Linked DNA regions of Arabidopsis thaliana. The protein of the gene in region 1 interacts with the protein of each later gene in a pairwise test. Each region holds a gene or a part of one and is shown on either strand. Other genes may lie near its edges.

The links.
Region 2: the proteins of PNM1 (region 1) and GRL interact in a two-hybrid assay, tested with the Arabidopsis thaliana proteins (one study listed by BioGRID).
Region 3: the proteins of PNM1 (region 1) and TCP8 interact in binary tests that used the Arabidopsis thaliana proteins (3 or more experiments, as listed by UniProt).

Annotation. Positions count from the first base shown.
Region 1 is NC_003076.8:24,525,387-24,533,555, forward strand, and holds PNM1 (Pentatricopeptide repeat (PPR) superfamily protein), read right to left. Parts: upstream 4,647-8,169; 5' UTR 4,603-4,646; coding exon 3,037-4,602; 3' UTR 2,703-3,036; downstream 1-2,702. Other genes in the region: AT5G60940 (Transducin/WD40 repeat-like superfamily protein), read left to right, coding at 57-269; AT5G60945 (ECA1 gametogenesis related family protein), read left to right, coding at 912-1,250; COBL5 (COBRA-like protein 5 precursor), read right to left, coding at 1,771-1,811, 1,897-2,329, 2,401-2,474, 2,553-2,619; AT5G60964 (ECA1 gametogenesis related family protein), read left to right, coding at 5,200-5,538. UniProt on the Arabidopsis thaliana protein: RNA-binding protein that functions in both mitochondrion and nucleus. In mitochondrion, it is associated with polysomes and may play a role in translation. Required during embryogenesis.
Region 2 is NC_003071.7:14,799,035-14,807,493, reverse strand, and holds the start of GRL (transcription activator), read left to right. Parts: upstream 1-3,643; 5' UTR 3,644-3,734; intron 3,735-3,949; 5' UTR 3,950-3,968; coding exon 3,969-4,370; intron 4,371-4,463; coding exon 4,464-4,538; intron 4,539-4,918; coding exon 4,919-4,999; intron 5,000-5,206; coding exon 5,207-5,287; intron 5,288-5,401; coding exon 5,402-5,484; intron 5,485-5,579; coding exon 5,580-5,664; intron 5,665-5,750; coding exon 5,751-5,876; intron 5,877-6,010; coding exon 6,011-6,118; intron 6,119-6,412; coding exon 6,413-6,687; intron 6,688-6,801; coding exon 6,802-6,934; intron 6,935-7,172; coding exon 7,173-7,283; intron 7,284-7,392; coding exon 7,393-7,471; intron 7,472-7,619; coding exon 7,620-7,813; intron 7,814-8,031; coding exon 8,032-8,177; intron 8,178-8,268; coding exon 8,269-8,350; intron 8,351-8,431; coding exon 8,432-8,459. Other genes in the region: AT2G35120 (Single hybrid motif superfamily protein), read left to right, coding at 220-298, 793-1,055, 1,453-1,581. UniProt on the Arabidopsis thaliana protein: Involved in regulation of actin and microtubule organization. Part of a WAVE complex that activates the Arp2/3 complex.
Region 3 is NC_003070.9:21,510,091-21,517,915, reverse strand, and holds TCP8 (TCP family transcription factor), read left to right. Parts: upstream 1-3,726; 5' UTR 3,727-4,030; coding exon 4,031-5,236; 3' UTR 5,237-5,584; downstream 5,585-7,825. Other genes in the region: AT1G58110 (Basic-leucine zipper (bZIP) transcription factor family protein), read left to right, coding at 542-1,260, 1,352-1,427, 1,531-1,657, 1,795-1,997; AT1G58090 (F-box and associated interaction domains-containing protein), read right to left, coding at 6,291-7,406. UniProt on the Arabidopsis thaliana protein: Can specifically bind site II elements in the promoter region of PP438/PNM1.

The DNA.
Region 1 (8,169 bases):
AAAAATATTCACTTCGTCGACTAATTCTAACTGGCCTTCACTGTTGTGTTTTGCAGGCAATTTTTAACGACACTGAAGAGTTTGTAATCTCCATAGATGAAGCAAGCAATGAGGTCGTTACATGGGATGCTAGAACCGCAGATAAAGTGGCAAAGTGGCCTTCTAACCATAACGGTGCACCACGGTGGATCGAGCACTCGCCGGTTGAATCAGTCTTTGTTACTTGTGGAATAGATAGATCAATTCGGTTCTGGAAGGAATCCGTTTAGATGAGAATCCAATCAATCAAAGTAGTGTATTTTATTCTCTTAAAACATAAACCATACATGAAAAAAAAAAAAAATCCGTTGTTCATGTTGCTTTGTAGAAGACGCAAGTAATCTTCCAGGTCACTGCAAAAGAACGAAATCAAAGCAGGTGAGCTTCAAAACCAGAATTACAGATTTGTTGAGGTTTGTTTCTGTTGTGAAACTTACTCAGGGCTGTAGTCACTCTCCTTCTGTCGGAGGTTATAAACCTACTGAGCTTCGCATGCGGGAGGAACGGGGTTCGATATCCCGCACCTCCATCTTCTTTACTAAATCGAGTTTTTATTTTATTTTGCATTCAAAACAAAAAAAATTAGTGCATAGAGTCTTCATAAAATTAATGCATATTACTGTATTTCTTACTTAAATGTTGTTCGTTTTACTCTTGGGAGTTTCAACTCTATTCAAATTTATAAACGGCTAATTAATAAATGTTTATTAAAAGAATCCAAAGACGTTAATCAAGATAATTAATACTATAGTTTTGTTCCTTTCCATTTAAATAGGCAAGTATCTTATTGATGTTCATAAATCAACCATTAAACATATATTTTGCTATACTAAACAAAGTTTTCTTTCTTTGCTTCTTCTCAATATCTCAGTATGTCTACTAAAAATGTGATTTCATTTTTAATGGTCATATGCATCATAGTCTCCGTAAATGCAAGACCACTTTTTTCGTCTATTTTTACTGATCCATATCCGTACCTTAATAGTTTACCAGGATTTTTTCATGTATTCAGATGTTATTCATCTGTGATGAAATTTCCAATATGCGTTATACAAACTACTGAATCCGTACGTAATAAGCGATGGGAAATCAGTCCTTATTGTTGCAAGGCATATTTACATACCAAAGATTACTGCTTGCCAAAAATTCCCTACATGCCAAAATTTCCTTCTTTCATAAGAAATCATTGTAAAAAAGTTGTTCGCAAGTAAAATTTTAATATATCTATATATATGTGAATCTTTTAACAAAAATAAAGTTATTATATTTTAATTAAAGTTATTATATTTTAAATAAAGTTGATTTGGTAAATGTTGTACTCAAAAACTACAATGATACAAATAATAGCACTTCAACATTTACTTTTCAATGTTTCATCTTTCTTTAGTTAATAAACTTTACTGAAAGCATCCACGCTTTGCAAGACATATAAACATATAGTTACAGGTTTAATCTTTAAAAAGAATTATGTATTTATAATTACGAACATTTGAAAATTCAAATCAGCAAACATGGTGAATAGAATATGTCTTGATCATGGAAATCACACATTCTAATACGTCTGACCACTCAAGTCTTTGATTTTGTAGCCGGTAACACACTATGGAAGAAAATAATTAAAATAGTGTATTTTATTTTCTTAAAACATAAACCATACATGATAATACAAATCCATATAAACTCTGGAGAAAGATTTGCTTATGATAATGTTCCTTTGGAGAGTTGCGTTGTTCATGTTGCTTTGTGGAAGACGCAAGTAATGTTCCAGGTCACTGCATAAGAACAAAAAAAGAAGCAGGTGAGTCTCAAAATCAGAATTACAGATTTGTCGAGGTTTGTTTTTGTTGTGAAACTTACTTAGGGCTGCAGTTATTCTCCTTTTGTCGGCGGTTGTAAACCTCGTTGGTCTAACGTTCTTACTCGGTCCACATATGTACTGTTGTTTAGGTGCCGTGAACATGAAGTTTGCCGGCATCCGAGCAGTCTTAACCGAGTTACCAGCGCTACCAACAGATAACTGGAATGCACTTTCTGAACCAGGTTTTAAGACACCGCTTTTGCAGCAATTAGCGATCTGCTGATTGAAAGGAGTTCCGGGAAGCAAATCGACAACTGTTGGCTTACGAACGCAGGACTGCGGGATATTTCCTTTGAACATGGAACAACCTCCTTGCCCTGTCGTTTTTGCACCCAACATGTTCCAGATCACTTCTTTCTTGGTCCCTCTCCAGCTCATTTTCCATCCTGGAATCGAACGTTGCTTCTGGTAATTGTAGGCTGTAACCACTGCCTGAGATAGAGTCAATTTTGAAGTTAAAGCAGACTCTGAGATTTTGTGAGACACGAAGAAGAAGAACTTACAACGTAGCCATCAGGCGTCCAGTTCAAGAGATCCCATTTGACTGTGATGTTTCCATAGTTGCTGGTGAGAGCTTCTGCAGATTAAAGAACATAAAAGACTTTTGAAGTTTTAGAAAAGACAAATGCAGGTGATTGTGTACAAGGAAATTTACCTGTAGAAATGAGACAGGAAAAAGAAACCAAGAGCAGGACAATCATCGTGGAGAAGAGAGACTCCATTCTTGTGGTTCCGATGTGAACAGAGACAGAGAGAGACTTTGTAAGAATATAGATCAAGGCGACGACTTTGACTAGTATACATTTGCACGTTGATATGCCTTTATACACGGGATCTTGTTTTAACTTTAATATATTAGATAATTAACAAAGATTAGCTGACTTGATCCGTTATAATTAAACTCAACTTGGATGTACAAGAGAAGCATTCAATTAACCAAGAAACCTAATTTTACCTCCGATTCTTGAGCCAAGCATGAACTCTTAGTAAACGTTACACTGAGACAAAACAAAAGATTATTGGGACAATTTGCTCATGATCAAGCAAAATGATGAGTACTCTTGACAATATCTTAAAAAGGAAAGAACAAAGACAATAATCTTTAGAAAATTCTATCAGATGTTGAAGATTCATCAGCATCACATTCTCCGTCTCATCTTATTGTGCGGTTTCTTAACAAAACTCATATTGATCTGCTTGAGCCGTTTCTTCTTCCTCGCGGTTTTCTCAGGCAAAGTCTCCCTCTTCTTAACATTGCTATCCACTTCCTTGGTCTTCTTTTTCATAAACCGTGGATCTACTCTGTATTCCTTAGGGCTAACAGCGATTCCTTTCTTAGCCGCTTCTTTATACAAACCATTAGCTCTAGTCAGCTGGTTATTCGCACACATTTTCCCCATCAACAAATCATAAGTCTTGATCCCAGGTTTGCATCCATTAGCTTTCATGCTCTTAAACACACTCATCGCATGCTCAAGCCTCTCAATCCCACACAATATCTTGAGAAACCCGTAATACTCTTTCTTATTCAAAAGCTCACCATATCCCGCTGATTTCATCTTATCGATCATTTCGTCCCCTTCACCGATCCTCGCTGCTTGATACAAACTCCTAATCAGAACAAGATAAGTCTCAGCATCTGGTTGACAACCCCATTCACCCATCCTACCAAACAATGTCATTGCTTCTTCAGTTCTCCTGATTTTACAAAGATTGTTAATCAACACATTGAAAGTCTCTGTGTTTCTAGGTACACCACGAAACTCCATCTCCAGCAAAACCTTCTCTACTTCAGGTTGAAGCTTAAAAGGATCTTTCTTCCTACAAAGCTTACAAACACAATCAAGCATCATGTTATACGCTTTGGTTCCTATCTCAAATCCTCCTCTAGACATTTCACCAGCTAACCTAGTTGCTTCATCGAGTTTCTCAGCAATACACCATCCACTAATCAACAAATCACATATATTCTCATCAGGAAATATTTCATTAGCAGTGTTCTTCACCATCTTCTCTGCGATACTCGCGTGTCCTTTCTCACAAAGCTTCTTCACAACCAAGGTAAGTGATTCTTTATCACGTTTCAAACCATAATCATTCTCCATTTTCTCGAAGAAATCAGTGACCTGCTTAGGTCTACCAGCTCTAACAAGCCTATCAATCGCCGATTCTAGTGTTTTACCTCCGGCGATACCTTTGTATTTCGAGATGATCTCTAGCATTCCTTTGAAATCTTTCCGACGGCCAAAGTAATCGACGAAAAACGAAACTGTTTCATCGGTGTGAGAGAAGTTAGAGTTCGAATCTAACCACTCGTTAAAACCTAGAGCCGCGCGACCAGCTTCCGGTGAGAGATTAAGAGTTTGGAGAATCAAATCGGGATTAGGCGTGATGTGGGAGAAGCTGAGATTGAATCTCTGCGAAATGGTTTGAGACTCGGCGTCTGGATTCCCGGTGAGCTCCTTCGAGAAAGAGAGAGCGATCTCATTCGAATCCAAAGATTCCGATTCCGCATTCGTTTCAGATGAGAAGAATCTAGAAGGAAATGTTGAGAATATAGAGGAACGGGAAGGGGGAAGAGGAGAAAACAACGGCTTGGAAGAAATGATACGGGGCTGAGATTGAAGAGTATTGACGGAGGAGGAGGAAATGAAGCTACGGAGGAGAAGCCGTCGGAGTTGCAGAGACGGTAACGACGGCGGCATTTCTGATTTAGTGAGAGAAAATTGGTAACTAGAGAGTTAGTGAGAAAGGGAAATAGAATAAAACCCTAGTTCAGGATTTAGGAACATCTTGAGTAATTGGGCTTCGTTTCGGGCCTTGATTTGCTTAAGCCCCTTTTGATTGTTTAATTTGAATTTATTATGTATCTGTTTCATTTTTACTCAAAATGGGGGTGTAGCTCATATGGTAGAGCGCTCGCTTCGCATGCGAGAGGCACGGGGTTCGATTCCCCGCACCTCCACCTACTCTAATAATAATCATGTTATAATTTTATTATTCATTTTTTTTTTAATTTAATTAATACATAGAGTCCTCATAGAATTAACATATTCCTATATTTGTTACTTAAATGTTGTTCGTTTCTAGAAGTTTTAACACTATTCAATTTTATAAACTGCTAATTAATAAGTGCTATTAAAAGAGTTCAAAGACGTTAATCAAGATAATTAATACCATAGTTTTGTTCCCTTCCATTTAAATAGGCAAGGATTTTATTGTTGTTCATCAATCAACTACTAAACATATATTTTGTTATACTAACAAAGTTTTTTTTCTTTATTTTTTCTCAATATCTCAGTATGTCTATTAAAAATGTGATTTCACTTTTAATGGTCATATGCATTATAGTCTCCGTAAATGCAAGGCCACCATTTTCGTCTATTTTTACTGATCCATATCCGTTACTTAATAGTTTTCCAGTATTTTCTCGTATATTCAAATGTTATTCATCTGTGATGAAATTTCCAATATGCGTTATAGAAACTACTCAATCCGTATCTAATAGGCGATGGGTGATTAGTCCTTATTGTTGCAAGGCATATTTACATACCAGAGATTACTGCTTGCCAAAAATTCCATACATGCCACATTTTCCTTCTTTCATAAGAAATCATTGTTTAAAAGTTGTTAGAAAATAGAATTTTAATATATATATATATATATATATATATATATATATATAAGTCTTTTAACAAAAATAAAGTTGATTTGCTAAATGTTGTACTCAAAAACTACAATTATACAATAATAGCATTACAACATTCACTTTTCTGTGTTTCATCTTTATTTAGTTGACAATATGATACTTTACATGGACATAGACATATAAACAAATAGTTACAAGGTTAATCTTCTTAAAAAATTTATGTATTTATAATTACGAATATTGAAATTCAAATCAGCAAACATGGTGAACAGATTATGTCTGGATGATGGAAATCACACATTCTAATACGTCTGAACTCTCAAGTTTTTTATTTTATAGCCGGTAACACTATAGGAGAAAATAATAACATATTAATAATATCTATATTTTTGAAAAGATAACAATCATGACTCATGAAACCGTGTCTCCCTGGCCTCCAGAGACCTCCGTAGCAAAAGTAAAAAATTATTTTGAAATTTGTGAGTCTTCTTCTAACTTGATCATTTTCTTTGGTTGCATGTGAGTCTTATATATCGTGATGAAGTCACAAAGGTTCTTTTCATAATATTTATCTTCATGTGAACATCAGCACATGAATATTATGAGTCTTATACATCAGTACATGAAGAACCCTGAACCCATCACTTAAGCTTTTAGTTTATCGTCACGCAGTAGTTGGAAAATATGGAAAACGAACCGAATTATATATTAAAAATACCTTTATAATTTCGGATGCCTCCGTAGCATAGTGGTATTGCGTTCGCTTCGTAAGCGAAAGGCCGCGAGTTCGATCCTCGCCGGGGGCTCATATTGATTTTGTCTTCTTTAGAAAATTTGTGAGCTCTTTCTCCTTTATTTTTACAGCCCAATAGCGTGTTCCCTTTGTGCGCTTATGTCCCGGTCCTCCACATAATTTGCTTACGAATATATCTCACGTCGTCATCATTTTGGGTTAGTCAGATGCTCAGCATAGGCTATGAGAATGTCGGTTCCTAACAAGCTTCCAAATACATATATCGTCAGGGATGTGTGCTAAACTAATCTCCTAATACATATATTTCGAACCTAATCTCCTAATTACTTGTTTGGAGTTAGGAGAATGATCGTTATTTGTATCCAACACTCAAGAAATGACATAAAAGGCATTAATATTTATATCGACATCAAACTAAACATGTAGACTATATGGAAATTACAACAACTCCAATTAACTAACTATAACTAGAAAACAAAATTATTTCGTACCGTGAAAAATCTAGCAAAACTGTATATATATTATACAGTCTATATTGAGAAATGAGGTTCAGATAGATCTCCATGTCGATATAAATGTAGAATTGGTAAAATGTTTATTTGAAATTTTTTTATTACGGTTTTTATACTGGCCTACATAAAATATGATTAAAAAATGTAGCATACATAATAATTTTTGCGGGAAAAGAAAAAATATTGAAAAAGAAAAAGGATAAAACAAAAAGAATTGCATGCCTAAGTGAGTGAATTATGTGAAAATGAAATAAAGTGGGCCTGTTTTTTTTTTTCTTCATCTCTTAACTTGAAGCATGCCGGTGATGAAAAAGAAGTTTATAATCATATGGACCATGTATATTATCCCATTTTAAGATAAATTATCTCTTGCCACTAAAAGATTCTACAAAACGTACATATTCTCTTGAGCAACTACAATTCTCCTCTAATTAACTAAGATATATATATATATATATACATATATAATGTAATCCACACATGTAAGATAAGATAACCGCTTATCATTATAGGCCCCTTGTAAGTTTTTTTCTTTCAAAAAATCGCATGCTCTTACAGTGAGTCTCACTGCAATAACAAAATATTAGTATTTAATTATCTTTAGAGAATTATAAAGGTTTTTTTCAATAACACGGTTCTTAGAGAATGTATAACTTTCGAATTCCAACCATTTTTTTAATTGATACAAACTGTAAACCCAATCTCGCGAACTAAAAGACTTATTTAAGTATGAGAATATAAATTTTAACTATTAGAAGAGATGTGGTGTACGAATTTATAGATCATCTTGGTTGAAAAGGAAAAAAAATGGCGAATCTTTGAATTTTCTTGACAAGTGTGTGCCCATCTATATCTAAACACATGATTTAGAAAAGATCAAAAGGACCACCAAAAAGGAAAAATAAGTTATGTTTTCAAAACCAATAATTTACCAATGGAAGGTTAATGACCCTACAACTTGGAGAAGATGATAGAGAGAAGAGAGAGAGTTATTGAAAAAGAAAGAGAGAGAGAGAGAGGGATATGACTAATATTGGAAGATAGGGATCAGTGCTTGACTGCAATTCAGTTGCTGTCTTAACTGCTTCTCTTCTTTCCCTTTCCTTCTCTGACCCTCCAATCCCAATACTCACCATCATCTACTTAATTCTCCTTTTTCTTTACATATTTATTCTTATTTATTTGATTTTGGTGGTATTACGAATTTACTACCACGACCTCAAGGTTATAAGGAGGTTCCACTATTATATATATCATGTGTCAACATTATATATCCAATTATTTAGTAGAATAAGGAAATATATAGGGAGATAATCTATATATAGTCTACACTAGAGTTATATACGAATAAGAAGCA
Region 2 (8,459 bases), on another chromosome or scaffold:
TTATGTCATTACCCACGATGTTGCTTTAGTGGGGTAGTTGATGCGAAATTGGTCTACGAGCAAATGATTTCAGAAAGTGACATTTTTTATAAGCAAAAAAAAAAGCAAATCCACCAAACCCTTTGTCGTAAGAATATAATAATAAGCCGTTCGGTGAGTGCACTCTTTCTCTCTCACTGTTGTTGTTGTGTATCTGTGCGAGATCTCTCCAACGAAAAAATGGCTTGTAGACTCTTTTGGGCTTCTAGGGTTGCTTCTCATCTAAGGATCTCCGTTGCTCAACGAGGGTTTTCTTCCGGTGAATCTCAATCTCCTTTCTCTTTGTTTGATCTCCTCTGTTGATTACTCTGCGTTTTTGATCTGAGATTGTTCTATTTGAACTTATTGGTTTTTGGTTTGTTCTCGACTTCTGATCGGATTAAAGCGTTTGCTTTTTGCTGGATTGATTGTCTCTGGATATCGCTATTAGCTAATATTTCTCCTTTTCGTATCAAATCCCAGAAATTGCATATGATTTCTCGAGTCTCTCTGTTAATAATGATAATCTTCTTACAAGTGTTCAGAAACTTGGAGGTAGTGAGTGATATGTTCATGTTATACGCATTATTCTCTAAAGTTTTATTCTTGAAGTAGTTTTGGGGAAGATTTTGAAAATCTGTTGTTTTGGGCCTGAAACATGTTGTTTACAGAGAAGGAAGATCTTCAAGAAGTTTTAGGAATGTTGATTATTTTGCCATTTAACCTTACTGATTATATTCTCTTTTGTTGTTGTTGTTGGCATGTGTATTATAGTGGTTTTGAAGGATTTGAAATATGCTGATTCACATGAATGGGTGAAGATTGACGGGAATAAAGCAACCTTTGGTATAACGGATCACGCGCAGGACCATTTAGGAGATGTGGTCTATGTGGAGTTACCTGATGTAGGACATTCGGTGTCACAAGGGAAGAGTTTTGGAGCAGTTGAAAGTGTGAAAGCAACTAGCGATATCAATTCTCCAGTCTCGGGTAAGGTGGTTGAAGTCAATGAGGAGCTGACCGAGTCCCCTGGATTGGTGAGTACTCATCTCAGACTCAGAATCATATTACCATTGACTCCATGTGTTGAACCAAAAAGAACTTCATTGGCATGATCAAATCCGAAATCTTAGTTTTGCGGGTGTCATTTTCATGTGATCTAACAAATTCATTCCTCGGGTAACATTCTTTGCATAAATACTTGATTATTCAACAGCTGTTAAAATGTAAGTGTCTTCAAGATTCGTAGGTCTAGATCAAATTATTTACATAAGTGAGTGTTGGAAAGTTTTAGGCTTTTAGCTGATGTGAAACTCTTGATCTTTGAGAACCAATATAGATTTGATTTATCAATAGCTTGCTTAAATATCGTTAACTTGGAGATTCTTGATTTTGTGGTCTCGAGCTGAGAGATTCTTTTGTTGGAATTCACAGGTGAACTCTAGCCCGTATGAACAAGGATGGATCATAAAAGTTGAGCTGAGTGATGCAGGCGAGGCAGAGAAGCTGATGGATTCAGACAAGTACTCTAAGTTCTGCGAAGAAGAAGACGCCAAGCACTGAGCTTTTTCTATTTTTTCCAGCATCCTTCTCCAAGCTTCCACCGCAACACAGATTGTTGTTTTCTCAATCGAGGATCAAAACGAGATTTCTCCATCTTTGTCCCTTGGACTGAAAATTCCCATCTCTCGTTCTCCTTTTTTCTTTTCATGTTTTTCTTTTAATGAAATGAAATTGTTTGAATAATGGTAGAGAATAATGAGCTTTGGCGTTGAAATTGATTGGATCTTTCATGGAGTTATGCCTTTTTCTTCTTAACTGCAAAAAGTTTCGGACAGTACATCTTCGTGGACCGAAAACCATAACCCTTAGCGGGTTGAACTAGTGCTTAGTGCTTAGCAAGCTCCAACTCCTTTGGAGGGACCAAATCAAATGCTACTGGACCACCATCCATCTATTTATAAACAATTGTACACCGGATTGGTAATGTTCATACTATATAAGATAACATGTTGACAAGAAAAATGCTTCTCTTCAGATGGACCTTACCTCCGTAGGTCTAGGCACGGCAGCAACTACACTTGTAGACTCTTGAATTAATTTGGAGTTCAGTAAAATAACTGCCCAGTCCTGAGATGAAGAAATTGGAATCCAAGATAATAGCCGAGTACAAAGAAGAAGCTAATGGAAGATTCATGCGAATAAAGAATATAGGTTCGGTCATATTGTAGCAACCGTGTGAAAACCGTTTTTTTGTTATTTTCTGGTTCATAGGGACCTCAAAAGATAATGTGAAAGGAAACAAAATCTGTGATGCAATGATATGTGCACAGAGGGAAAAGATTTTGGAATCATTGTTGCTTATTGTGAAGGCCAAGCTTGTTTAGCCACAGTTGTCCAACAAAGTTACAAGATGTGCCTTGTAATACAATATTCCTGCGTTGTCAACCCTACTTTATTATATGAAGTTGTTTTTGTGTGTCATGGTTTCCACTAATTTACTTATTAATTTGATTGTTTGATTGTTTTCTATTAGTAAAAAAGTAATATCAACATTATGATTAAATTCTCAAATCAAATAATTATGTTGAAAAGATGAAATGCTTGGATAGCACTGAGCTTTGGACACGCAACAAAAAGTGAGGGAGGGGCAAATTCATCATCAGAAACGTCAGAAACATTATTTATTAGTCGAATCATACTAAAGTTTAACACAGTAATTCTAAAATAATTGACAATTATTACACCTAAAAGCTACTCCATATGTAGAGATAATGATAATTATATACTACAAGTTAGTATTTGTCGACGTCAATATTGTTCTCTTGGTTAATTGTTTTTAAATATTAAAAATTACCGGTTAAGGGACTTGTTCTCATTTTGTCAAAGCTTCGAAAACTTACATTTCAACCACCCAACTAGAACGTTTGTTCTTTTTCTAACAGAAATTTTCCTTTTAAATACTAAAAATAGTACTTACTACATAATATACCAAATACTTTTTTCTATTTTAGCTATCCTCATTATTGAAATAGATGTCGTAGATTTGAATTTACCTTCTGTTAATGTACATATGATAAAAGAACATTGGTTTGTTATGCTAAAATCTCAATAGTTGGAGCTAATCCTATAGTTTTGCTAAAAAAAACTTGTAATCCAAATAACTACAATCAAACCAAAACAACACATGATTTGAAATATCATTTTTTCTAGTGAAAAAATGTTGTCTTGCACTGCTCAAATTCAAGTAGACAATTCCGATTCAATATAACTAAAAATCTCATATTTTATTAAAATTTTATAAACAATTTATTTTTTGAAAGGGATAAACACTTTCAGCTGTTCAATTGTTCATAATTTTCTTCTACTTACATTGTTTCGTTTCCTATGGAAATGTTTAGATTTACAGGTAAAAAGTAAAAAATGTGCTTGAGCAAGAAAAGAGTAAAAAAAAATAAAAAAATCTGCATTTTAGTTGAAAACGAAAGAAATTCTACTGACTAATTTTGTCTTAAATGAGAGAGACCCGAATTTAGCAACTCTTTATTTCTCGGCTCACACACTCCGATTAAGCCCGACGCTCTCTCTCCTCTTTGTCGTCGTCATCATCGTCTCCGGAGTAGGTTGCAGAAATTCAGATCTGAACTCTCAGACGAAGCTCCGATCTTACTGAGACATTTTTGCTCGATTTGACTTTCGCCTTTAAAGCTTCTCAGGTAACTTTCAATCTTCACGAGACTCTTGCTTGACTTGGTTTTAGCTCCTTGTTTGGTTGCTGGGAAATTGACGAGGGGATATCTATTCTCACTCGTCACTCGTTGTTGAGTATTACTGGGTTTTTGGAAGATGAATGCAAGAGTAGAGAGCTAAGTAAATTATGTTGGACGAGATTGTGTAACGTGATTTTGAAATACATTTTCCTTTATTGTAGAGATTATTGTACTGAATTAATGGCGAATTCTCGTCAATATTATCCATCTCAAGATGAATCAATGTCCCCGACTTCTGTGAGATCAAGGGAATGGGAAGGTCCTTCCAGATGGACTGAGTACTTGGGACCTGAAATGGCTGCATCAGTGTCTTCTACTAGGAGCTCTAAGCAAATTGATGGACATGTTGGTGGTTCCACAAAGGCTTTGAACATACAATGGGTAGTTCAAATGATTGAGGTTGCTGACGGTCTCATGGCTAAAATGTATAGACTGAATCAAATCTTGGAGTATCCTGATCCTGTTGGCCATGTATTCTCTGAAGCATTTTGGAAAGCGGGTGTCTTCCCTAACCATCCACGGATATGCACTTTGCTCTCTAAAAAGTTCCCTGAGCATTTCAGCAAATTGCAACTTGAACGTGTAAGTCATGAGTTCTTTTTTTATTAGACTTACTGTTTGATTTGTTGATCTGATGGTAAATGAAAAAAGATTTATTCTGCAATACTTATGCAGATTGATAAGTTTTCACTGGATAGCTTGCATGATGGTGCTGAACTTCACTTACAGAGCTTAGAGCCATGGATACAGGTAATAAGAAACTATCTATGTAATATGTTGTTGGGTTTACGTTCTGTTGTTGTGAAACTTGTTGTTCGAGAATGGTGAAGCATCTCGGAAGTCCTACATGCTATATAGTCAATCTTTCTATTAGTTTTCTTTGTGTACCTAGTCAATCTTCAATCTTCAGTCTGCTATATAGTCAATATTCAATCTTCTATTCCATCTCACCATTAGTCAGCTTTATATATCTGGGCATGCATATATGATTTACCTAATACATGGTTTTAACTTTTAAAATGTAAACGAGTAGTTATTTGCTAGCCTTCTTTCCTTAGTTCGTGTGTAGCATTTCAGTAAGGGGTGCCTTCATAGTCCTCTCGTCATGCATTTTTCTTTTCTTGAATCAGCTGCTGCTCGACTTGATGGCATTTCGAGAACAGGCACTGCGGCTTATATTGGACCTAAGCAGCACTGTAATTACCTTGCTGGTGAGTCAAAGTCTCTCATCTGCGGAAAGTATTTACTTGCTCTGGGTTGAAACTTTGAGCTTTCTTTTGAACTCGTACCTTAGGTGGAGGTCATGAAATGTTTTGGTACATTAAGTTATTATTTACTTGTCAAAAATGTCTGTGAGGATGAAGATAAAATTGTTGAGTATTCATGATTAGCTCATAACTTAGTTCAGCTTTTTGCAGCCTCATCAGAACTCACTTATTCTGCATGCATTCATGGATCTCTTTTGTGCATTTGTCCGAGTCAATCTCTTCGCAGAGAAGGTATGCTGAGCTTGTTCCTTTTCTTAGTTCTTTGTTTATTTGGATTGATTACACATGTCATGTGAGACATTACATTATTATCAATATGTAAGAGTGTTTATTTTATCAAAGTAGATTCCTAGGAAAATGTTGTTGCAAGTCTACAACCTTCTGCATGCGCTATCAAGAAATGATCGAGACTGTGACTTTTATCACCGGTATGGATGTTTTTTTCCTTGTAGTATCATTTTTAATTTGTATATAATCAATAGACTCTGATATCATATATTAACACTCCTCGTCTTGCATCCAGCTTGGTGCAATTCATAGACTCTTATGATCCCCCATTGAAAGGCTTACAAGAAGATTTGAATTTTGTCAGCCCAAGGATTGGAGAGGTTAATATTTTATTCAAATCACGGGTATCCTACGAGCTAATATTGCAACTGATACAGCAGTACTAACAACGTTACTATTTTCCTAGGTCCTGGAGGCTGTAGGACCCAGTATTTTTCTATCTGCAGATACGAGGAAGTTGAGAAATGAGGGATTTTTAAGCCCATATCATCCTAGATTCCCAGATATACTTACAAATTCTGCTCATCCCATGGTACGAACGGCTAGATTATTATCAACATAAAAGCTTAGGATTCTCAGAATTAGTAGGATGCTATTGTCTTTCCCTTACAACTCTACTTCGATGTATAGTGCTAATATTAGATAATACACTCTTGGTTCCTACAGAGAGCGCAAGATCTTGCAAATGTTACTTCGTACCGAGAGTGGGTGCTTCTTGGATATCTCGTTTGCCCCGACGAGCTTCTTCGTGTTACTAGCATTGATATCGCCCTGGTATGAATCTGTTTTTCATTTTGTTCTCGATTGTGATCTTGATAAAGAAGTTTTTCCTCCAAGGATTCTATCTTGAAAACTATCTTATCTGGTCAATAATAGGTTCTATAAATTTGTTTCACAAATCAGAAATTTTCTGCCTCTCTCTGCCTTTGTTTGTAAAATGTTAAGTGCTTTCATTTTCAGTGTTTGTTTAACTTAAGATTAGTAATGGAGTTAGGTTTTTGATGCTCAAAACAAATCAAGATTGCGTGTAATTCGTGCTGTCTCTAATACTGTCCTGTTGTATTTCAGGTCGTGCTAAAGGAAAACTTAGTCGTGACGTTATTCCGGGATGAGGTGAGTTTATATCAAATGGTCTGCGAAAAAGAGTTTGGTATTGGAATTAGTTTTGCATCAGCTGACTCTATTAATCTAACTATGCAGTACATTCTGTTGCACGAAGACTACCAGTTGTATGTTTTACCCCGAGTGTTAGAATCAAAGAAGATGGCTAAGTCTGGACGGACTAAACAAAAGGAAGCTGATCTAGAATATAGTGTAGCAAAACAAGTTGAGAAAATGATCAGGTAACTCCAATTTTTAATAGTTCAGTACTTTGTAATCCTCATCTGATACTGGAGAATTTTTGTGACTTTAGCTCTGAATTTATAGATTTACTTTTGTTTGGTCGCTGCTTTCAGTGAGGTGCATGAGCAAGCATTGCAATTATGTGATACCATACACCGAGAAAGGAGAATATTGCTGAAGCAGGAAATAGGGCGGATGGTTTTATTTTTCACTGATCAACCAAGTTTGCTGGCTCCAAACATTCAGGTATCGGTTTAGTCTGTTTCATATTAGGGTTTGAAGCTATTGGTTTGTTTGAGAAGAAAAAACAAATTGCTTCTATAGAATTTAATCTACCAAAAGTGTCAAATGAAAAGTTTTACAAGATTTCTGTGTCAACTACGTATCATTGATGCTCTGCATAGATCTATCCATTATACTCATAAGAGTTCTTCCCTTCCCTAAACTTTCCCAATAATTGATTTATTTACTTTTCTTCCCTTAGATGGTATTCTCTGCGTTGGCTTTGGCCCAATCTGAGGTTCTCTGGTATTTTCAACATGCTGGTATTGCATCCTCAAGATCCAAAGCTGCTCGAGTGATACCAGTAGACATAGTAAGTTGATTGCTTGAACTTTGAAAGCCTCTCAACACTGTAACTTTTGACTTTCAGTGAACTCAAAATTTGGTTATTATTTACTGATTTATCATTCCTTATTTCCTAGGATCCAAATGATCCTACCATTGGCTTCCTGCTCGATGGAATGGACCGTCTCTGCTGTTTAGTGCGCAAGTACATCTCAGGTTTGTTACTTTTAGATATCACATCCTTGAACATTGGTTTTTAAGTATATGAGCTTGAAACTCTGGTGTTGGACCCGTTGCAGCTCATTGATCAGTACCGATGTTCAAAATTTGGTAACCTTAATGGTGTTTGTTATTTGAAATGCAGCTGCTCGAGGTTATGCACTATCATACCTTTCTTCATCTGCTGGAAGGATTCGTTACTTGATGGGTACTCCTGGAATTGTGGCTCTGGACCTTGATCCTACCTTGAAAGGCCTTTTTCAGCGTATTGTGCAACATCTCGAAAGTATACCCAAGGCGCAGGGAGAAAATGTTTCTGCAATCACATGTGACCTATCTGTAAGATGGACTATATCCACTTATTTTCAAGTCAGATGATGCAATTGCATTTTTCTTTCACAGATAATCAATATACACTATATAGTTAATTCACTCATGTTTCCATATGTTTCCCATTTGGCCTGTCTTCAAATCCTAGTTGTAGTCTGGTCCCAACACAATTAATATGTTTAATCTTCCAATCTATTTTCTAATGCTCAGTGCCTCTTGTTGTACAGGATTTCCGGAAAGATTGGTTGTCCATTTTGATGATTGTCACTTCTTCTCGATCATCGATAAACATCAGGCATTTGGAAAAAGCCACTGTCTCTACTGGGAAGGAGGGCTTGCTATCGGAAGGAAATGCTGCATATAACTGGTCCAGGTACTGTTCCCGGCCTTATATACCATTACTTGGTTAACTTCTAGCTAGAGAAACAACGAAACTAATATCCTGCAGAATTTCATTAATGCAGATGTGTTGATGAGTTAGAGTCTCAATTGTCAAAGCATGGAAGTCTGAAGAAATTATATTTCTACCATCAACACCTCACAACTGTATACTTCCTGTTGTTGTTCACTGTCTACTATTTTCCCATGTCATCTTATGCATAATCTAACATTTGAGTTTTGTAAAAGGTTTTCAGAAATACAATGTTTGGACCAG
Region 3 (7,825 bases), on another chromosome or scaffold:
CTAAAAAAGGAAACTTTCTGATTTTACTTGCCTTTTATAGATTCTTGATATTACAATTTTACTACTTGATGTGTTCACTGTTTGGTTGCTGGAAAATGTGGGAAGATGAAAAAAGCTTATTGATTAACTTGGATGAGTAAGAAAAACTTTGATTAGCTGAAATGAAAAAATGGTTATTTCTTGTAATCGCTTTTATGTGTTTATGTTAATATTAATAAGAAAGCAACTGAATTTGGATGACCTGTTCTGGTCTGGTTGTCTGAATTGGTCAGCTATAGTGTTCTGCTTCAGTGTCAGCTTTATAAAACATTTTAGGCTCTATAGATTTGTTGCATTGATCTGTGTTTGATGTTTTGTTACCAACTTTTTCCTTACTTTATTAGCTTAATTAGGTTTTGGATTGCTTGTTTTGTTCTAAATCTGCTACTGAGTTCTTAGGAGTTAGGCCAAGCTTAAAAAGATTTGATTTTGTGGGTTTTGATGCAATGGTTTAAATAGTCAGATCTATCTTTTACTGTTGTTTTGTCAGGCAAGGGTGACAATGGCTAGCTCCAAGGGATCACAGAGTGTTAGAAACTTGATGTACCCGGGAAAGCATGCTTTGCTCCCACCAAAAATACCGTTTCCTAGTGTATCAGCATCGTATTCCGAGTATATTCCTACTGGTTTGATTGGTTCAAGACATGGTCAGAAGCTTAGTAATGAGAAAACACATCACCAGCGAACTTCCTCCGAGAGCCATTTGGTAGAAGAGCTTCCCTTTTGGCTTGATGATCTTCTCAATGAGCAGCCGGAAAGCCCTGCTCGAAAATGTGGTCATCGGCGTTCATCAAGTGACTCTTACGCTTATCTAGATGTGGCTAATGCTACAAACATAAGTTTGACTCTCCAAAATGATTTCAGTTATAGGAATACTGTTTTATCCACTCAAAGAGGAGTCCAAGAGCTTGACCGGAATAAAAATGCTCAGGATGCTGCCTTCTACTCTGGTGCTAGTTTTCTGAAACAGAAGAGTCGTCAGCGGGATTCTTTGGTGGCAACTGGGGCTTGTCCTTCTTGGTTACCTTTCGCTCGTGAGAACGGTGGCGGAAAAAACTTGGGAGCTTTATATATGTCTCAAGATGCAACAGTAATATCGTCAGAAAGAAAGAACTATGCTGAACCTTTTTCTCATGACCCAAAGATGTTATCTTCTGAGGAAAACAACTCCAATCCTTCGCCTGTGACTTATGAAGCTGACAACACAAAACGAGCCAAACAGTTTGTGATCTCTTTACTCGTTCTTGATTGATGTACCTATTCAAAGCAATATAGAATGATCAGTACTCATTTAGTTTGCTGCTCCCTGCAGGCAATTTGCACAAAGATCACGGGTCCGTAAGCTCCAGTACATATCTGAGCTAGAAAGAAATGTACAGACATTGCAGGTAAGGCTCAAAAAAACTTGCATTCAAAGAGAGAGTAAGTGAAAGATGTAGTAGATTACAATTTGTGCAGCACTGAAGTATGGATTTTATTTTGTGACTATAGGCAGAAGGCTCCAAAGTTTCAGCTGAACTTGATTTTCTCAACCAGAGGAATCTTATTCTGAGTATGGAAAATAAAGCTCTCAAGAAGCGTCTCGAAAGTATAGCTCAGGAGAAGCTTATCAAACAATGTAAGTTTCTCGCAGTTTCTTTTAGGTTCTTAAGGTTCAAACTATAGTCTAGAGTATGAGTTTGTAAGTATTAGCTAGTTATCAAGATTCAACAGTTCTTAAGATTGTATACCTCATGAGTTCTGTCTATTATCCAGTGGAACAAGAAGTGTTGGAAAAGGAGATTGGGAGACTACGAGCGTTGTATCAGCAACAACAACAAACTCAAAAACCATCAGCCAGTCGCGGACGTGCTACTAGCAAAGATCTCGACTCTCAGTTCTCCAGTCTTTCACTGAACACCAAAGATTCCAACTGTAGGCGTGACTCTGTATCTGTGATGGGTCAATTCCACTTTTAGTAAATGTCTCTCTACCCACTGGTTCATTAGAGATCTTAAGGGCCTGGCGACTCAACAAGATCAGACCCTTATCTACCGCCTCACCACAGACGTTTTTAACTCCCCCGTCGTTTCTTTTTTTTTCTTTTCTTATGGTTGACAAGTTAACTCACCAGTGCACCTGGAAATCCTATATTACTTCCAGGAGATGGCTTGCCTGAGGTGGTTTAGTTCGAAGATCAGACACCTGGACTTCATTTATCTGGTGATTGTTGTAGCGACTTGTGTAATATATGGGACGAATATATTCGAACCCGGACTCATCTCTGGAGTTGTACTATGATACCCACTGTTGTATTTTATGTTACTTGTAAAATGGTGCATTCCCTTCGAGTGAATGCTTCATGTAAAGTTGTTGCCATTTTCTGTAGTACTATCCCCAAGCGTCAAAATATTTGATTGCCTCAGATCTGCACTTAATTTATATGCACATTTACAGCTATTTCATTGCTCTTTGTCAAGCCTCTTGAAGGGCCTATATCAACTCAATTGTTATCAGAAAGTAAACTGGTTAGCATTGTTGTCGTTTGGTTTTAGAGGAAACTGAAACGGCTACATTAGAAATGTTTTTGGTAGGCGTGGGCAAAATACCCGAACCCGAAGAACCGAACCGAACCTGACCCTAAAAACCCGATCTGAATTCAAACCCAAAATTTTAAAATACCTAATCAGATCCTAAACTACAAAACCCGAATCCGATCAAGTTTCTGAACATATCTGAAATATATATACATAAAAATAATTTATTAGTAATAATCATATTTACAACAACTATTAAGTGCATAAAATATTAGATTTTGTATATATTTTGGATATTTTACCTACTTTTCGATAGATTCGGATAGAAAATACTCAAGTTTTTTGGAATTTTTTTTGTGTATTTTCAAGTAATTTAAATATATTTTGATACAAAATTTTGAGTTTTGGATATTCCGGATGAACTCGAATCCAAACCAAAAAAACCCGATCTGAATCTGAAATCTTAAAATAACTGAACCGTAAACCCAAAAAGACCCAAATACCCCAACGCCTTACCATATTAAATTAGGAGGAAACCCGTTCATAAATAATTTTTCGGGTTTGGGCCACAACAGACCGGCCCATTTCAACCGGTTCATAAATTCTAAATACTAGAAAATTCCAAATTAGATAAGTTTTTGTCCATCCTTTCTTTGGGATTCTTGACGAGTAACGTTTGATGTCTTTCTTAATTTGGTTGAATGATCAAATTTGTGATCCAAATTCTTACAAACTGATATGTTAATGAATCTATAACCAAAATAACGTCTAAAACAAAAAGCTGTAACGATTTGAAAGTGCATTTTTTCCCAAAACTATATAACTAATTAAAGAATTTAGTGTCATTTATCTAATGGATATACTTTTAACAAAATCTTATAAAACTAAAAATATTTAAGACAAAAGTGAAATGGAGATACGGAGGTGGATTGTAATGAGCTGTCCCCACCTGCAAAAATACGCACGCTTCACTGTCTGAAAGATGCTTATCTCTCTCTTTCTAACTTTCTTAATCCACAAATCTTTTTTAAACCTTTTTTTATTGGTGCTCTAAAATTGGTAAACAATAATGTTGTGATGAAAATAATGTAATTGAAAAATAACATAACTCATATTTGGGTAGAATTTTGATAAAAAAGACTTAAAATAATTGTGAAAAGTTATTTTTCTCCCCTAATTACTTTTTGATTTATATAATAACTAATCAAAAATCAATAAACGTTTTATTTAATGTTAATGACGGCATATATATTATTTATTTTAATAATAATATCCTCTTGCTGGAAAAGTCATCCACCTGCTTTTACATCATCAAACCTTTTTTTCTCTCATCTCTCTCTCTCTCTTCTCGAGACAAAGAAGAAGACAAGAGTCAAACTTGAAGGCGACAATCGGAGCTTCCATGGCCGTTTCTTCCTCTTTCACCAAACCCTAATTTCAATTTCATCTTCTTTTCCCTTCTTTCTCACCGGAAAATGGATCTCTCCGACATCCGAAACAACAACAACGACACCGCCGCCGTCGCCACCGGAGGAGGAGCAAGACAGCTAGTTGACGCATCTCTCTCAATCGTTCCCAGATCTACACCTCCCGAAGACTCAACACTCGCAACAACCTCATCTACGGCAACGGCGACTACAACGAAGCGGTCGACTAAAGACCGTCACACGAAAGTCGACGGAAGAGGACGTCGGATTCGTATGCCGGCGCTATGTGCAGCTAGAGTTTTTCAGTTAACGAGAGAGTTAGGTCATAAATCCGATGGTGAAACTATTGAATGGCTTCTTCAACAAGCTGAGCCAGCTATTGTTGCTGCTACAGGTACAGGAACTATTCCGGCGAACTTCTCTACTTTAAGTGTTTCGTTACGAAGTAGTGGATCGACTCTCTCTGCTCCGCCGTCGAAATCGGTGCCGCTTTACGGTGCTCTTGGATTGACTCATCATCAGTATGATGAACAAGGAGGCGGCGGTGTGTTTGCTGCTCATACGTCGCCGCTTTTAGGGTTTCATCATCAGCTTCAACACCACCAGAACCAGAATCAGAATCAAGATCCGGTGGAAACTATTCCTGAAGGTGAGAATTTCTCTAGGAAACGGTATAGATCGGTTGATTTGTCTAAAGAAAACGATGATCGGAAACAGAACGAGAATAAATCTTTGAAAGAAAGTGAAACGTCGGGTCCTACGGCGGCGCCGATGTGGGCGGTTGCGCCGCCGAGTAGGTCTGGTGCTGGGAACACTTTTTGGATGCTTCCGGTACCGACAACGGCCGGTAATCAAATGGAGAGTAGTAGCAACAATAACACCGCCGCAGGCCACCGTGCTCCTCCTATGTGGCCATTTGTGAACTCTGCTGGAGGAGGAGCGGGAGGTGGAGGCGGAGCAGCGACTCACTTTATGGCGGGAACGGGGTTTAGTTTTCCGATGGATCAGTACAGAGGAAGTCCACTTCAGTTAGGTTCTTTTTTAGCTCAGCCGCAGCCGACTCAGAACTTAGGACTAAGTATGCCGGACTCGAATCTCGGGATGTTAGCCGCTTTGAACTCGGCTTATTCAAGAGGCGGAAACGCAAACGCGAATGCGGAACAAGCGAACAATGCGGTGGAGCATCAAGAGAAGCAGCAACAGAGTGATCATGATGATGATAGTAGAGAGGAGAACTCAAATAGCTCTGAGTGAGTGATGTAAACTAATCTTGTGAAATCATTGAATGTGGTAAGAAATTGATTTAAAGCGTTTGTAGCGGTTTGGTTGATTGTTTTATTGTGAGATTTTGTGTGTTGTTGTTTAGTAGTGTTTAGACAAGAACAATTTATGTGTGAAGGAATTGTTAGGTTTGGGTCCAAATGGACTCTCATGGGTAGAGAATGTTTTCAATGTATAGAAGGAATGATAGTCTTTTCGATTTTTCAGTTTTCATTGTTGAGTTTCTTATATTTTTGTAGGATAAAATTGCATTCAAACCAAAAGAATAAAAATTGCATAATTAATCGCAATTAATAAGTTCCAGTGAAAGAGTTGGTGACAGATCTCACTTCTTTTCTGTATGCTACTTTTGTTTGATTTCTTTTTCGATCGAGCAAGGTCTTCTGCAACTGTTCTTTTTTCTGGCACAAGGATTTTCAAGGCACTAGTATGTATATAATATAAGACACACTGTTCTTTACTTGGAAAAAATTGAGTTTGGATACTTACATGATAGATATTCTAATAACATGCCTAGATGGTTTAAGCAAGCTAGGTTGTATACATCTACTCATTAATGTTTATTTTCAATACTCAGTGTCACTGGGCTTCCGTTCTCTTATTAATTTCAATGGAGTGCTAAAACTAACTTTGGGGAAATAGATAGTTGTTTGGTTCAAATATTTTGTACACATGATATTATTCTAAGACAACATACACGCACTAAGTTAGTTTTCTGTTTTTGTCCTAGTCCGCGCTAACATTTTGGCTTATGTTATAACTTCCTTGGTTACAGTATTCTCCTAATTTGAGCGATAGGTTATAGTGTATATAAACAGGAATCACTGATAGAGAAAGGACGTCGTATATCTTCCCATGCTCACAAATTAGATTATCAATTAACCGAATTAGGCCGAACAAATTGTGGAAATCAATCCTGTAAAAGCTTTATTAAATAATATCTAAATAATACGAAAGCAACAATGAATTTAAAACTTGTAAAAGTTCTTCTTGTTCAGTACTAGCTTCAGCGAAAGTCTCTCAACTCTCAAGGAATGGTGATCAAACTGGGAACATAGACAGAGGATTGAAACTCACATAGCACTTGATCTATCTTAATCTTTTTGCACAAATCTCCCCTCACAATATACACCCAAGCTGCTTTAGGTCTCTTGCTAGGACAACACAGAACAAAGCTCTTCCCATGGATATCATTATCGACAAAGTAACTTGTAGAGATGTAACTAAGTAATATGGGGAAGTCAGGTCTTGAGACTGTCATGAACTTAATCCACACCACATCGTCTCCATCATCCCCGTTACCAATTTGATCCTTTGTCACCCAAATCTCAATCTCCCTTGTTTTTTTGGATTGTTCTAACACTGAAAACCGATCTCCCTTGTAAATCGAGAGGATACGAGTATGTGTAGTACTTTTTTCCCCCTTACACGGTAAAACACAAAAGGTCTTTCGACTCTTTTCTATCTCTTTCGAAAAATCGAGCATTGCGATGAAATACTGACCAGTGTGGGGAGAATTATAAGCTGTCCAGTACAAATTTCCATTCAGGGAGACCCTACCGGAGTCGTCCATTAATTCTGGCTTTTCGTGAAAACGGGTATGATCAGTAACCTTCCACGCATTGGTTGCAAATTCGAAGACTGAATATGTATCAGTAACTTTACCCTGCCAAGAACAACTACTCCTTCCGATAATCTTGTAACTCTTTTCGGGTCTACTACCATCGTAACCAATGGCCTTGCCACATGTATTCTCAGCCTTGGCAATCCATTTAGTCTGTCTCCAAAACAACGGGTTCCAAACAACGCCTCCGCCTCCATTAAGAAAGCTATACATGAAGAAGTTACCATCGCAGATCCCATACAGATGATAACCGCGGCAACTTAAATGATCAAAGCGTAAATCACGCACCTTTATAGTTGGATTTTCGTCTTTGAGATCGACGCTTATCGAATAAATATGTGAATGTGTATTTAACATGATTTCTGGCCGACCGCAAGCAAAGTTTTTGTTGATGAATCTCTTATTCTTGAAAAGAGTGTTCCATTCTCTGCAAACGGATCTGAAGCGAACGAGAGATCGAGGTGGAACTCGAAAGAGTATCTCTTCTTCCAGATCTAATGGAAGCTTTTTCGACACCATTAGGGTTTTCTTTTTTTTGGTTGGAACCATTAGGGTTTTCTTTGAAAATGAAGCAATGGAAGAAAATATATTTACATAGATAGAGTAACAATTATTTCATTTTCGTAATATGTTATATAAAGAATATTTGAGAATAATATATAATTGGCTCGTCTACCAAACGGCCGGCCAATTTAAACCGCAAGGTAAGGTTCCGTTATTTGCTTCCTATATTTGAAGCCCTCTACTCGTGTCTCGTGATTCCTAATAGACATACAATTATAATCCATAACTAATGATGTCATATATATGTTCTTTTAGCGATGAGCTTAATTACTAAATCGAATTTGGTTGTTTAGACTTTAGAGTATATATAAGGAACGATGTGGAATTCTCTTGGGGTTAAGATGCAAATTGCTCGTGTCTTGTAGTATTCACTG